3 linked regions of the Oryctolagus cuniculus genome follow. The protein of the gene in region 2 purifies or fractionates together with the protein of the main gene of each other region. This does not show direct contact. Links are inferred from orthologs where the notes say so. Each region holds a gene or a part of one and is shown on either strand. Other genes may lie near its edges.

Region 1 (4,469 bases), on a different chromosome or scaffold from region 2:
AAGAGAAAGTGAACATAATTTACATGTTTTCTTAAAATGCAGCAGTGTCCTATATGAGTATATAAAATCACAGAAAGGGAGAAAATGTAATTTAACCTTTTCTTGATTATTAATGTCCTCATATATGCAGTGCTGGAATACAGGGACAGCCGTGTGGCTGAGTAGGTAGATCTGCTTGCCTTTATACAAAGGTTCAGACTGCTCTGGTCTTACACAGTGTTTTCTCCCCTTGCATCAGCTCTCACTTCTGGTTGCTATTAGTATACTTGCCTCTACGGAAACAACACATATAAAGCATTTAGCAGTGTCTGGCACACAGGAGGCACTTAATAAATGTTTGCTATTATGTTTGCTTTCCTTCCTTCTAATCTGATACTTCTGACCACCGAGGATTAAGAAATAAGAACAGAAAACTTGTCAGAATTGTGTTTAAAATTATAAAAAACAGGCTCAATTGAGGTTTTCTTTCAAGAATGCAATGCACCAAACAAAAATAATAATAGTCATTTATTGAGGCTTATTATATGCCAGGCACTTTGCTAATTGCTTTATATCAAGTATTTCATTTAATTTTCTCAGTATACTTAATGATGTTATTATTTTATATACAGAAAAGGCTCACTCACATTAAATAAGTTTCCAAACATCACTCAGAGCCAGTAAAGTGGCAGCATTCTTTTCAAATCTGATTTATTTCAAATCCCATGGTACTAATCACTATGTATACTGCAGTATATGGAGTGGCCTACTTTTAAAAAAGCTGTTCCTAAGTTCTAAATATGGAGAATGTTGTTAAGTAAATATCCTTACATTTAATAATTAATATAATAATTGAATGTTAAATAAATATCTTACATTTAATCATTTACCAGAACATATTCAGTGAATATCCTTTTTCTTTGGCTGTGCAGAATCTGTTGCTTTAAGATAATGACCATCTGATTATCCTCTGAGACCTCTGCTCCCCCCTTATTAGTCCCTGTACTCCTGAAGGAGCTGCTTCCCCCCAGCCCAGCAGCAAAGCATTTGTTCTGACCCAGTCACTCAATAAACTCATTCCCTTGGGCCAACAGCAGGTCTAAGAATGGCCACCCAGTGAGATACCATAAGGTTTGCCTAGAAATATGCTGGGATATGTACATGCTTCAGTGTGTGTATTTGTGTGTGTTGATTTTCTTTCAAAGCTGAAACTAAGGTCTGAAGTTAAAGCTGCCTTTTTATGTTTATTTTATAAACATGCTTTTATGTTAAGACTGAAATTGGGGACGGCGCTGTGGTGCAGTGCGTTAACGCCCTGGCCTGAAGCACCGGCATCCCATATGGGCGCTGGTTCTAGTCCCGGCTGCTGCTCTTCTGATCCAGCTCTCTGCTATGGCCTGGGAAAGCAGAAGATGGCCCAAGTCCATGGGCCTGTTCACCCAAATGGGAGACTCGGAAGAAGCCCCTGGCTCCTGGCTTCAGATCAGAGCAGCTCCGGCCATTGTGGCCATCTGGGGAGTGAACCACTGGATGGAAGACCTCTCTCTCTCTCTCTCTCTGTGTAATTCTAACTTTCGAATAAATAAATAAATCTTCAAAAAAAAAAAAAAAGACTGAAATTGTAGCTGACTGAGATGAAATCAATGTTGAGAGAGAAAAACTAAGACTTTACAATATTGCTTAAATGCAAACTTAGCTGTGCCTGAGTTAAGCTGTACCTCTAGATCTTGTAACTTATAAGATTCCCTTTCTTGTTTAAACTAATTTCTTTTGATATGCTGCCACTTGTGACCTTAGTCGTGTCTGAGACACCTGGAAAATTTGTGTTTTTTTTCCCCTAGAGGTCTTTTTAAGGCAGTGGCAGGTCTCATCCTGGTCTGGCCACTCTATTTGCCAATTAGACTTGGTATCTCTGGCATATGACACAGACCTTGAATTGGTCTTGTATCCGGATTCAGCCTTGGTGGTACAGAGTCTTGGTATTTTGGCCAAGTCAGGTACTACCTTTCTTGTGAAACTGGGTTTCAGATATTAAACAATTAATGTAGTTCAGGTAAAATTTACATGCATTTCTTGCAAGTATAATACTTACAGTAAGCAAACTAGAGGAACTCAGCGTATTCACCCAGTATTTATTCCACAGAAGCTCAAGCAATTTGCGATCCAAAGAGGATTTGAAATATGAGACTTCTAAGGCATAATATCTATTAAACAAAAGGACAAATTTAGTAATTGAAAAGAAGTTCAGCTGTATCATATAAAAGTTATGGCCAAACTTAAGCAAACTATATTTTATATTTAAATAGTCATGTTTCAGTTTTTAGTACAAGTAACTATGATTTCCTTATTCTTCAGGGGCTGTGCTTTCAAGTCTTGTCTAAGTTATATTGTTTTCCTTCTGTAAAGCCCAAAACTTCCAATAAGTTATTAACAACCAATCAGAACTTTGAAATAACATGTTTATTCATTTTATTGAGTTCATGAATTCCAGCTAATAACACATATTAAATTAACTATCTAGGGTCAGCTGTAATTTTTGTTAATGTTCAAAAAATACTGAAAATGACATGTGGATTCCCTTTTCTAATTCTCTAGTTAGGACTTACTGCCTATTTTTTATTTTTGAAGATTTCAAATATATTTTATTTCTTCAACAATGCAGTATTGTAATAGGTACAGTGCTTTTATTTGGCTTCAGTTATGAGTTGGTTTTGAGACTATTCAGTATCACACCAACTGGGATAATTACTGATCTCTCCATTCCTGTAGAGTGACTGCCAACAGGAGACAGGTTCCATTCTATTCCAATCTGTGTTGCTGTATATCTCTATATAACATTACAGAATGTGGCTCTACCAGCTAATACAGCATTACCACATTTGTTATGAAAATCAAGTGTACGTCTTTGGTGGCTCTTCATTGTCATTGTTTGCTGAATGCTTTGAACTTGGAGAGGACTTAGTGCATTTCTGACCAAAGGAAACATGGTGAAGCAGAAGATACAACTGTGGCAACTGTAGCTACTGTTTTGTTGCAACTTCCCTCCAGATACCCTTACAGAGAGTCCTCTTTATTTTTTCAAAAAAGTAAACTCTAAAGTATGTCTTTAAGGTGCCTAAAAGAAGTTTGCACTTCTAAAAGTGCCTTATTTATAAATAAGGGTGCAGAGCAAGGACAATTTGGCTACATGTCTGAAAAACTGATTCTTTTTAAGATAACAATATTTAAATATCTCAGAGGTTTTGTATATCAGTGGATACAAAGAAGCACTAGACTATTTTACCTTGAGGGACTTACCATTTATATGAGGGATGTGATATGAATTCATAATAAGTTAAAATATAGTTATATACACTGAATACTTACTGGTGTAAGTGATGCTACAGTGCATATTTAATTGAAATGAATCAATTAAGTGTAAGAGATAATGAGTACTCTTAGAGTACAGGATAGATAGTGGTCATTTGAAGCTAGAACTGCCTGAAAAGCACAGGGAAAAGGCAAGATTTAGGGTAATCACTAGATGATTCTGTGGGGTGCATATGTTGCCAGCAAGGAGGGTATTAAGCAGAATGCCTCAACACATGAAAAGGTAGGACACATATGGGATAATAAGTCAGTCTGGCTAGACAATTTAGAAAAAGCAGAAGAATTATGTGAGGGAAACCTAGAAAGCTGTGCTGGGGTCCAGTTGGTGGAGGACATCAGATAAATGACTAAGCAATTTAAATTTTACCCTCTAGGTACCTGTATTCAAGGAGGGTGTTTGGGCAGAGCAATAACACAGCCAAAGGGCTGTTTTAGAAAGCTGGCTGTGGCAGTACCAAAACTTTGGAGGCAGGAATAACCACAAAGGAAGCCACTGCAGCAGGTAAGCTGGGAAGAGAAAGGTTCAGTGCAGAAGATAAAGTCATATGGGCATGATAAAAAAAAAGTTGATTAAAGTTTAGCAGTGAAGAAATGAAAGTTGTAAGAAATTGAAGATAATCAAAATTAAGTAAAGCTTTGTTTTGTTTTACTAGATTTGTTTATTTGAGTTACAGAGGAAGAGGTAGAGATATAGAGAGAGATCATCCATCTGCAGGTTCACTCCCCAAATGGCTGCCACTCCCAATCCAGCTCCCTGCTATTGGTCTGGGAAAAGCAGCAGAAGATGGACCAAATACTTGGACCCCTGCTACCCATGTGGGAGATCTGGGTGAGACTCCAGGCTCCTGGCTTTGCTCTGGCACAGCCTTGACTTGCTGTGGCCATCTGGGGAGTGAACCGGTGCATGGAAGATCTCTGTCTCTCCCTCTCTGTAACTCTTTCAAATAAATAAAATAAATCTTAAAACAAAACAAAACAATTTTTGTTAGGTAGAAATTGAGTATTCTAAAGGCTGCAGACATGTTAGTGTCAGGCTGGCCCTGAATACAACATCTCTGAATCGCTCATTTTATGGGCTAAGTATCTTATACATTGAGAAAATGTTTATGGCTGTTTCAAAG
Region 2 (4,569 bases):
TCAAGAGAGCTTGGAAGGGGCTTCAGATGGACTTAAAGGGATCCTTCTGGGGCCAGTGCTGTGGTGCAGAGGGTTAAGGCTCTGGCCTGAAGCACTGGCATCCCATATGTGCACCGGTTTGAGACCCGGCTGCTCCTCTTCCCATCCAGCTCTCTGCTATGGCCTGGGAAAGCAGTAAGAAGATGGCCCAAGTCCTCGGGCCCCTGCATCCCCATAGAACACCCGGAAGAGGCTCCTGGCTCCTGGCTTCGGAGTGGTGCAGCTCTGCCCGTTGTGGCCAGTTGGGGAGTGAACCATCGGATGGAAGACTTTTCTCTCTCTTGGCCTCTCCTCTCTCTGTGTAACTCTTTCAATTAAATAAATAAATCTTAGGAAAAAAAAAAAGGATCCTTCTGACTTCCAGTCCAGTTCTATGATAATACACGGGCTACACATAATCCAATATTAAGTGTACATCAGCTGATAAAATACTTCCCCTATGCAACAGAAGTCCTTGAAGTATACTGAATCATAGGGTCCATGTTCATACTCGAGTTCTTCACTAATAAATATTCGCCTTGCCTCCTATATTCACATCTATACAGAAAAGCGTACCTCTTCAGCATTTAATAAATGCTTCTTTTGCATACAATTATATCACTTAATAATTACAAATCTCTCCAGCTCAGTGGCACTGGACCCACTTTGCAGACAGTAAGTCGAGGCTAGGTGCAGTTAGGTGACTCGTCCAAGATCCCAAAATGAGCAGAACTGAAATTCAACTCAGTAGAACCCCAAAGTTCCTTCTACTACGCCAAGCTGCCCCCTGTAAGGAAACCGAACTCATGCAACTTGTGTCCAGGGAATGAGCACAGGCCATGCTTTTCGGGTGATCTTGGTCATTTTTAACCTACCTTGTAACCCGCAGGCCACAGAGCTGCGGAAATCAAAGAGCTACAAAGTCAGTGCCAAAGTCGTGATGAAGACCTGGTCGCAACTGCAAGCACTCAAGAATATTTTCACAATTTCAACCTGGTGTTTTTAGGAACTAGCCACTTTCGCTGTTTGGAAAATCGGGGGACTGTGCCCTCAAGCGGTCAAAACGGGACCCCCACTAGAGCTCGCTGCTGGTTCAGCGGACGCAAAGTCCATCAGGCGACCCTGCAGTTCTCCTGCAGGATCCGGAGATCGCCAAAGCCCTGGCCCCAGAAAAGCTTAGGCGCCGCCCGCCCAGCGAGGCTGCGCGCATGCGCCTTCCCAGCCCCTCCAGAGGCTGCCACCACCTGGCGGCGCCACTTCCCCCACGCCCGGTCCCCCGCTCAGCCCGCTCTTTCGAATACCTTTGTCCAATTCCATAAGAGCAGAGTTAGCATCCAGTTCCTGTTCGCCATAGCCGGCATCTGCCAGGAATGACTTAGTTGAGTTTGACGCCATGACTCGAATAGTTACTCGACTAGCCCAGTCAGACAGATCACAAACTCTGCCCCAGCACCGCCATCTTCTCCTGCCGCCTTCTCGCGGATTTTTCCTCCGCGCTCTGTCAAGCCGTGCCACGCATGCGCCCCGGTCACCCCACGGTTCGCCGGCGCCTCTGCGGCCCCCCGCGCAGGCGCTCAGGGAGCTCCCGAACCCTAGGTTCCCGCGGCTGGGAGAAAAGGAGGCGGGGATTCCAAGGGGGAAGTGACTCTGAGACGGCCGGACGCCGCCCCGGGAGCCAATCAGAGCGTGTGACGTCAGTTTGGCGCGGAGTTTGGCGGCCGGGGCTCCCAGTGGCGGGAGTTGGAGGCAAAAACGAGTCGCGTTGCGAGGGGCGCAAGCTACGGCTTCTGCGGGGCTTGGGGGGGCGTTTTCACGGCTTTTCTCTCACTTGAGTCTCTTCCTTCGGCCCTCATGCTCTTCAATTCGGTGCTCCGCCAGCCCCAGCTTGGCGTTCTGAGGAATGGTGAGTAACGGTCTTCAACCGCTGCTGCTCGCTGGCGGGATTCCTCCCCCCAAACACACGCCGCCTTGGATCGGGGCCGACTCCAGCCCTAGGTCCCCGCTTTCGAGTTCTCCCACGGCGGGACGGGGTTGGTGTTCGCGAGGAGTGCCGAAGAAAGCGGGGCGTGCGTTCCTGCAGGACATTTTTGGTCGCGAACGGGCGTTTTGCATCGTGGTGTAGGCCGAGGGAAGGAGGGACGGAGGCCGGCCCTTATGGCTTACGTCTATATTGCGCGTTAACTGGGAAAGGCATGCCATGTGTTCTCTCAGCAGCTCCGTGAGACCGTCCAGGCTCGGATCCATTAGTTAGCCCGTTAGTTCGTGGTAGAACCCTAGAGAACCCCACTATTTGTGATCGCAGCGGACGTGAGCGCTGCGGAGGACCTCGATCGGGCAGAGAGGACAGGACATCTGCTCTCCGCCGGGTCGAAATGCAGCCTCCCCCCCTTTCCACACAGCCATAAAAATTCCGAACTGTAGCGTCCAAGATGCCCATAACCACGTCCCCCGGGGACGGCCGCGGTTAATAGGTTGAAGTATATTATTCTAGATTTGTTGGATGTCCGGAAAGAAATATTTTCAGAAATGAAATCAAAACGTTTTGTTTTTCTTTTTAGCAGCGTTAAGTTGTCCCTATTCCCGTGTCCGCCTGTAGAAATCCAGCTCATTTTCTGCAGTTCTCTAGGTTATAAGAGTTAAATCACTGGCACAAGGAGATTTGAGCTTAGGTTTGGGTATCATCGACCTGAAATTTTTGATACTTTTCTGAAATAGGGGTTAACTCTCTAGACTAACCCGGGACGGAAATGAAATCTCATTTTTTTTAGAAGTGTGCAATACCCAGAGGTCCCCCTGCCCATGGTAACCATGTGGAAAAGACAAAGATAAAGGAAAGACTGAGAAAGGAACTTTTTATTTAAGGAATGGGTCTCAAAATGGATGTTGATAAGACTGAAGAGTGATTGCCTGCACTTCCTGCTCCAGATCTAAAACTATCCTGCTTTCCCTCTTGCCTCTGAGCTAACCTTTGTGGTTGCACTCTAAATCCTTCTCTCTCTGTCTCTCCTAGGAACTTGCTGAACACCTCTCTGTCCTCTGTGTCTCGGAGGGCTGTGCAGCACGGTGGTTAAGAATGCGATTGTCTTTGGAGTTAACTGCCTGGGTTTTAATTACAACTCCACTCCTTACTTTTCGTGTGACCTGGGGCAAACTATTGAGCCTCTATTTTGTGACAGATTTTCTCCTAATTCTCCAATACATCTGTCTACTTTTTCTCCTTCCTCTCCTATTCACGAGTACTCATTCATTGTTAATGTGGTAAGCACTAAAATTCACTCATTATGTGTTGCCCATTTAAATATTCAGTTACCTTCTCCTTATCCTTAAATGTTAGTGTTCCATCCTTGGCCCCTTTTGCCTATTGCCATAGGTAATCACAGCCATAACTAGGACTTCTTAAACTAGTACGTATAACCTTTAATCTCCTACCTATATTTTAGATTCATTTCTAAAAAAGCTGTATGGGTTGTGCCCCCCCACTTTGTGGCTCCTGTGAGCACCTGAAATGCAAATTCCCAAAACCAAACATAATTTGCCTTCTGAACCTTCTGTGTGACCTACAGGAGTAGCCCCATTGTTTTAAAAGAGGAATTGGAATTTTTATCACAAGTTTAAATAGATGCTAAGAACATGATTTGTGGCTATATTGTGAGTACTGACATCTTAAAAATACTAACTCTTCTAAATTTATCTGGTAGAATGAATACTGATTTAATAATCACATCATCTGTTTAAAAATATGAATAAACTCTTCCTTAACTGCAGAATATTCTATGCAGTTGCTTTTTTCTCTTGAAGTTATTTCTACTGTATTTCTCCTACAGAACTTAACCTAATATAAGTTGTTGTATACTTGAAAAGTCCTTTTACTGATAATCCTGTCTTGTCCTTCTGTGTCCAAAAGTACATTTAAATTGCTGTTTTCTGTTATCATAATGCTTTAATGTTAAATGTTTCTCCTGGGTTTAATTTTCATTACAGTTTTTAGTATGTGATTGATAAAAACAATATATGATCAGTTTTGATGAATAATTATTAAAAAGTAACTTTTATTGAAATTACATGTTTTAAAGGTGGATTTGGGTGTTTGTGGTGCTATTCTTAAATAAATGATCCAGTTATCTCAGGTGGGATACCAGAAGGCTTTTGGTTTTACTTAAAAATATTTAATTGATACCTAGGAGTTTTTATACCTTGAGTCAGTGTAAGGTATATAGTTGGGAAATGGAGAATGCCTTTTTTTTTCTTTGTTAAAGGAAATGATGAAGGTAGAGAAAGATGTACCTCACCCTCTCAGGTCAGTTTTAGAAATGCATATATATGTATGTGTGTGTGTGTATGTATATATATGTGTGTGTGTGTGTGTGTGTGTGTATGTATATATGGAAATTAGTTCTCCAAAAACTCTTGTGTATGCTTCTTGGTAAAGTTACATGTGACCCAGCCTTAAGTTGTACATTGAATAAATAAAAGCCTTTTCCAAATGAATGTTATGGGAGAAAGTATTACAAGTTCATGTTCATAGCACAATAAAAATCCAAAAATAGCTTA
Region 3 (4,469 bases), on a different chromosome or scaffold from region 2:
AGGGGAAGGAGGGCACCACGAGGCTCTTGAAGGGTGCTAGTGCGGAGTGGGTGCCTCGTGCGCCTGCAGCCGCTCACCCAGGAAGAAGGGTCGGTGCCATGGGCCGCGGGCCCACGGACGTCTACACTCTGATGTGGTCCGGCACACGTGGTCCAGGAGAGCCTCCACGGCCCTTTGTCAGGCTTGCGCAGCCTCATCCAGGAACACAGGCGGCCTGGGAGTAAGGAAACACGACGCATGCCGGTCTGGCCAGAAAGTCAACATTCCTCAGAGGCAGAGTTACAGAGGTGAAGAGACAGCGAGAGAGATGTTCCCACCATGGTGCACTGCCCAGATGGCCACAGCCACTGGGGCTGGGCCCCGCTGGAGCCGCTTCCGGGCCTCCCACGTGGCTGGCAGGGGCCCAAGCGCTGAGCCCATCCTCCGCCACTTTCCCAGGCACATCAGCAGGGAGCTGGATCGGAAGTGGAGCATCTGGATCTCGGAACCAGTGCCCATGTGGGATGCTGGGGTTGCAGGCGGCAGCTCTGCCCGCCGGGCCTCAGCACCAGCCCCAGAGGGCTTCTGGCACCGGCTGCAGGGAGCAAGCACACGTGTTTGCGGGGGCCTGTTCCTACGGCAACCAGAAATGAAGTCTTATTTTCCTCTTTGTCCAGGGACATGGGATTAGAACTGTTCCGAAACCACATTATTAGTGACAGGATGGTTCAGAGCAAGACCATCGATGGCATTCTGCTCTTAATCGAACGAGAGCGAAGCGGGGAGGCCGTGGACAGGAGCCTGCTGCGGAGCCTGCTGAGCATGCTGTCCGACTTGCAGGTGAGCGCCGCGGCCGCCAGGCGGGCTCTGGCCCGGGACTGGCTGCCTCCTGGCTGCCCTCCCCGGAGCAGGGGAAGCAGCAGAGGTTCAGGCGCAGACCCTGCTGTCGGGAACATGGGACGTGTTTAGTCCCTGCAAGGGGGATGACTCGGCTAACCAGGAGCCACAGGAGAAAAGGTTGATAAATGTGCCTATATAAAAATGCCAGCTTTTTCATGGGAAGTGTGGAATAAGAAATCAAAGACCTGGGAAAGCTGTTGGTGTCACGTGTGAAAATCAGAGGGTGTATTTGTAGCATGCACAGAGCCCTGCCGGACCCAACCCAGGGCCCGCAGGTCACGGGGTGCTGGGAAAGCCAGCTTTCAAGTTTGCTGACTGAAATGACTCTCTGGTTTCTTAGGTGTATAAGGACTCATTTGAACTGAGATTTTTGGAAGAGACGAATTGTTTATATGCTGCAGAAGGCCAAAGATTGATGCAAGAAAGAGAGGTGAGACGATGAGGCATGAATTGCCATGCTCCCCTTCTGTGGGAATAGACCCGGGCTAACCGCACACATGCGCACGTTCCTGGAGATCGTCTCAAAGCCACGATCTCGCAAAATCCCAGTAGTTAGCTCTCTTCTTCTTAGGGTAAGAATTTAATTTCTTTTCCTTCACTTAGAAGCTGTTTTATTGTCTTCCCCCTTAAAAATCAAAAGCCAGTAAGGTAGGGTCTGAAATTTGTAAAGGAACTCAGGTTTAAGCAAGAAGATAAGGAAACAAATCCTAAATCTGCAAAGTGAAATGTGTCAAAATCTGTCATCTGTGTGAAGCATTGAAAAAAATATATAAAAAAGCGCGTCGTCATAAAAATGCGCCTCGTCCCCGGTTTCCGCCTCATCCCCGGTTTCTGCCTCATCCAGGAGGCGCCTGTGCACTGTGACCTGCCTCACTAGGCCTGGCTGCACGGGGCGGACAGAGCCTCGGGGGCATGTGAGGCATCCCCGGGGGCTCAGCCTGCCGCCCGGCTCTCAGCACCCAGCTGTGCATGGGCCCGTGTGGTGAGCAGGCACACAGCAGGCTTGTGGCCTGGGCCCTGACTCCAGAGCTGGGTCTCCGGGAAGCTGCTCATGTGTTTCTCACAGCCCCCCCCCCCAACTGGGGCTGACTGTATACTCTGCTTTTGTTTTTTAATTTTATAAGGGAAACAAAATTTCCGTTTCTTGGGTAACACTAAGAACCTTTTTGTTACTGATGTGCTTAAATGTTTTCTTTGGAAGGTTCCAGAATATCTTAACCATGTAAGTAAACGTCTGGAAGAGGAAGGAGATCGCGTGATCACGTACTTAGACCACAGCACCCAGTGAGTACTGCAGCTCCTCTGCCGCCTCGCTGAGATAAGAACCCCTTTGTCCCTTCCTCTGTGCCGTCCCGGGGCGCCTTTGTACTCGCTGGTAGCGTTTGTCATGACTCAGCACGTGGCCGAGGGGCTCCGCACCTGCAGGACTGTGTGTGTGTGTGGGGGTGTGTGTGTGTGCGCGCGCGGAGTCACACTGGCCAGTAGGCGTTTTTTTTAAAGAGCTTAGGGTTTTCCTGGGGGGTGGGATAGTGAGATTGAGAGGCAGACAGGGAGAGATCAAGGCAGAACGGCAGTTCCCGTCCTCGGGTCCACTCCCCAGCGCCCACTTGGCTGGTGCCCTGAAGCCAAGAGCCAGGACTCAATCCAGGCAAAGAAAGGGAGAGACATTTTGTGAGTGTGTCTCACGCGAGGAGAGGTGAGACACACACGCAGGAGACAGAAGAGGGAATCTGAGGAACCAGAAATGGTACAAGTGGGTCGGGGCAGGCAGGAGGAAGGGAAGGAGCGGGAGGGAAGACGGCCTTGGCGTTCGCGTGTGCTGAGCAGAGTGGGGCTGAACCAGGACAGGGCCCCCACGCCTGTGTCCTGCTCCCCTCTGTTGCATTTAGCTTCAAGAGGAAGCAGCCAGGAGAGAGAAAGCAGAGGGGACAGCAGATCCAGGCTCATGGCAGCAGAGGGAGCCACACACTGGGCTCCGCTGGAGCCATGGCCCTGGGCAGGTCACATGCCTCTGGTGTGCAGGGTGGAGGGCTGCCGTGAGAGCCAAGTGGGGAGGCGCGCTGACGCCTCCCTCAGCGCTCGGGAGTGGGTCCCGTGCTGTGGCCTGTGGCGCCAGCATCACACATTGGTGCTGGCTCCAGTCCTGACTGCTCCACTGCTTCTTCTTCTTCCTTTTTTTTTTTTAAGATTTATTTATTTATTTATATGAAAATTAGAATTACAGAGAGAGGAGAGGCAGAGGGGGGGATCTTCTATCCGCTAGTTCACTTCCCAGTTGGCTGCAGCGGCTGGCCAGGAGTCAGGAGCTTCCTCTGGGTCTCCCACACGGGCACAGGGGCCCAAGTACTTGGGCCATCTTTTTTATTTATTTATTTATTTTTTATTTGACAGGTAGAGTTATAGACAGACAGAGAGAAAGGTCTTCCTGCCGGTGGTTCACCCCCCGAATGGCCACCACGGCCAGAGCTACACCGATCCAAAGGCAGGAGTCAGGTGCTTCTTCCTGGTCTCCCATGCGGGTGCAGGGCCCAAGCACTTGGGCCATCCTCCACTGCCTCTCAGGCCACAGCAGAAAGCTGGCCTGGAAGAGGAGCAACTGGGACTAGAACCGGCGCCCATATGGGATGCTGGCGCTGCAGGCGGAGGATTAGCCAAGTGAGCCACGGTGCTGGCCCCTTGGGTCATCTTCTATTGCCTTCCCAGGCCATAGCAGAGAGCTGGATCCGAAGTGGAGCAGCCAGGACTCAAACCGGTGCCCATATGGGATGCCGGCACTGCAGGCAGCAACCCTACCTGCTATGCCACAGCGCCAGCCCCCCCCCTTCTTAAGATTTATTTATTTATTTGAAAGGCAGTTGGAGAGAAGCAGAGAAAGAGAGAGAGGTCTTCCATCCTCTGGTTCACTCCCCAAATGGCTGCAACAGCCAGTGCTGGGCTGATCCGAATCAGGAGCCAGGAGCTTCTTCCCAGTCTCTCATGCAGGTGCGGGGGCCCAAGGACCTGGGCCATCTTCCACTGCTTTCCCAGGCCACAGCAGGGAGCTGGATTGGAAGTGAGCAGCTAGAACTCAAACTGGCACTCATATGGGATGCCGGCACCACAGGTGACAGCATTACCCACCATGCCACAGGGCTGGTCCCTGGCTGCTCCACTTCAGATCCAGCTCCCTGCTAATGGCCTGGAAAAGCAGTAGAAGATGGCCAAAATGCTTGGGCCCCTGCACCTATGTGGGAGATCCGGAAGAAGCTCTTGGTTTTGGCCTGGCCACAGCCCTGGTAATTGCAACCATTTAGGGAGTGAACCAGTGGATGGAAATATCTCCCTCTGTCACTTCCCTCTGTGGCTCTGTCTTTCAAATAAATGAATCAAAAAAAATCTCTGAAATTAACCTTGGGAAGACGGCGAAAATCAGTGCTGCTTGGTAAAGCAGGTGCCCTGTTCTGAAAACAGCAAAGGGCAGCACTGGGCTGTGGGCGGGGAGAGAAGCCCAGGAAGGGCAGCGTCGGGGCCTGTAACCCGGCCCACAGTTGCTGCGTTAGCAGACTGTCCATGACGGGAACTTCCGTGGTCCCCAGGCCCTGCCAGGTGAC

Evidence for each region. The genes of interacting proteins can lie anywhere in the genome.
Region 1: the proteins of DTL (region 2) and COPS5 purify together in Homo sapiens (affinity purification with mass spectrometry; 6 studies listed by BioGRID and IntAct, with this or other methods). This does not show direct contact. The link is inferred for Oryctolagus cuniculus from reciprocal best matches to the Homo sapiens genes DTL and COPS5.
Region 3: the proteins of DTL (region 2) and CUL4A purify together in Homo sapiens (affinity purification with western blotting; 15 studies listed by BioGRID and IntAct, with this or other methods). This does not show direct contact. The link is inferred for Oryctolagus cuniculus from reciprocal best matches to the Homo sapiens genes DTL and CUL4A.

What each region holds. Positions count from the first base shown.
Region 1 is NC_091437.1:92,674,072-92,678,540, forward strand, and holds part of COPS5 (COP9 signalosome complex subunit 5), read right to left. Parts: intron 3,102-4,469; exon of another isoform or gene 2,584-3,101; intron 2,184-2,583; coding exon 2,072-2,183; intron 1-2,071. UniProt on the Homo sapiens protein: Probable protease subunit of the COP9 signalosome complex (CSN), a complex involved in various cellular and developmental processes.
Region 2 is NC_091444.1:26,551,887-26,556,455, forward strand, and holds the start of DTL (denticleless protein homolog), read left to right. Parts: upstream 1-1,570; 5' UTR 1,571-1,869; coding exon 1,870-1,921; intron 1,922-1,949; exon of another isoform or gene 1,950-2,084; intron 2,085-3,203; exon of another isoform or gene 3,204-3,276; intron 3,277-4,274; exon of another isoform or gene 4,275-4,296; coding exon of another isoform or gene 4,297-4,315; intron 4,316-4,569. Other genes in the region: INTS7 (integrator complex subunit 7), read right to left, coding at 1,320-1,413. UniProt on the Homo sapiens protein: Substrate-specific adapter of a DCX (DDB1-CUL4-X-box) E3 ubiquitin-protein ligase complex required for cell cycle control, DNA damage response and translesion DNA synthesis.
Region 3 is NC_091440.1:713,682-718,150, reverse strand, and holds part of CUL4A (cullin-4A), read left to right. Parts: intron 1-656; coding exon 657-819; intron 820-1,219; coding exon 1,220-1,309; intron 1,310-2,080; coding exon 2,081-2,163; intron 2,164-4,469. UniProt on the Homo sapiens protein: Core component of multiple cullin-RING-based E3 ubiquitin-protein ligase complexes which mediate the ubiquitination of target proteins. As a scaffold protein may contribute to catalysis through positioning of the substrate and the ubiquitin-conjugating enzyme.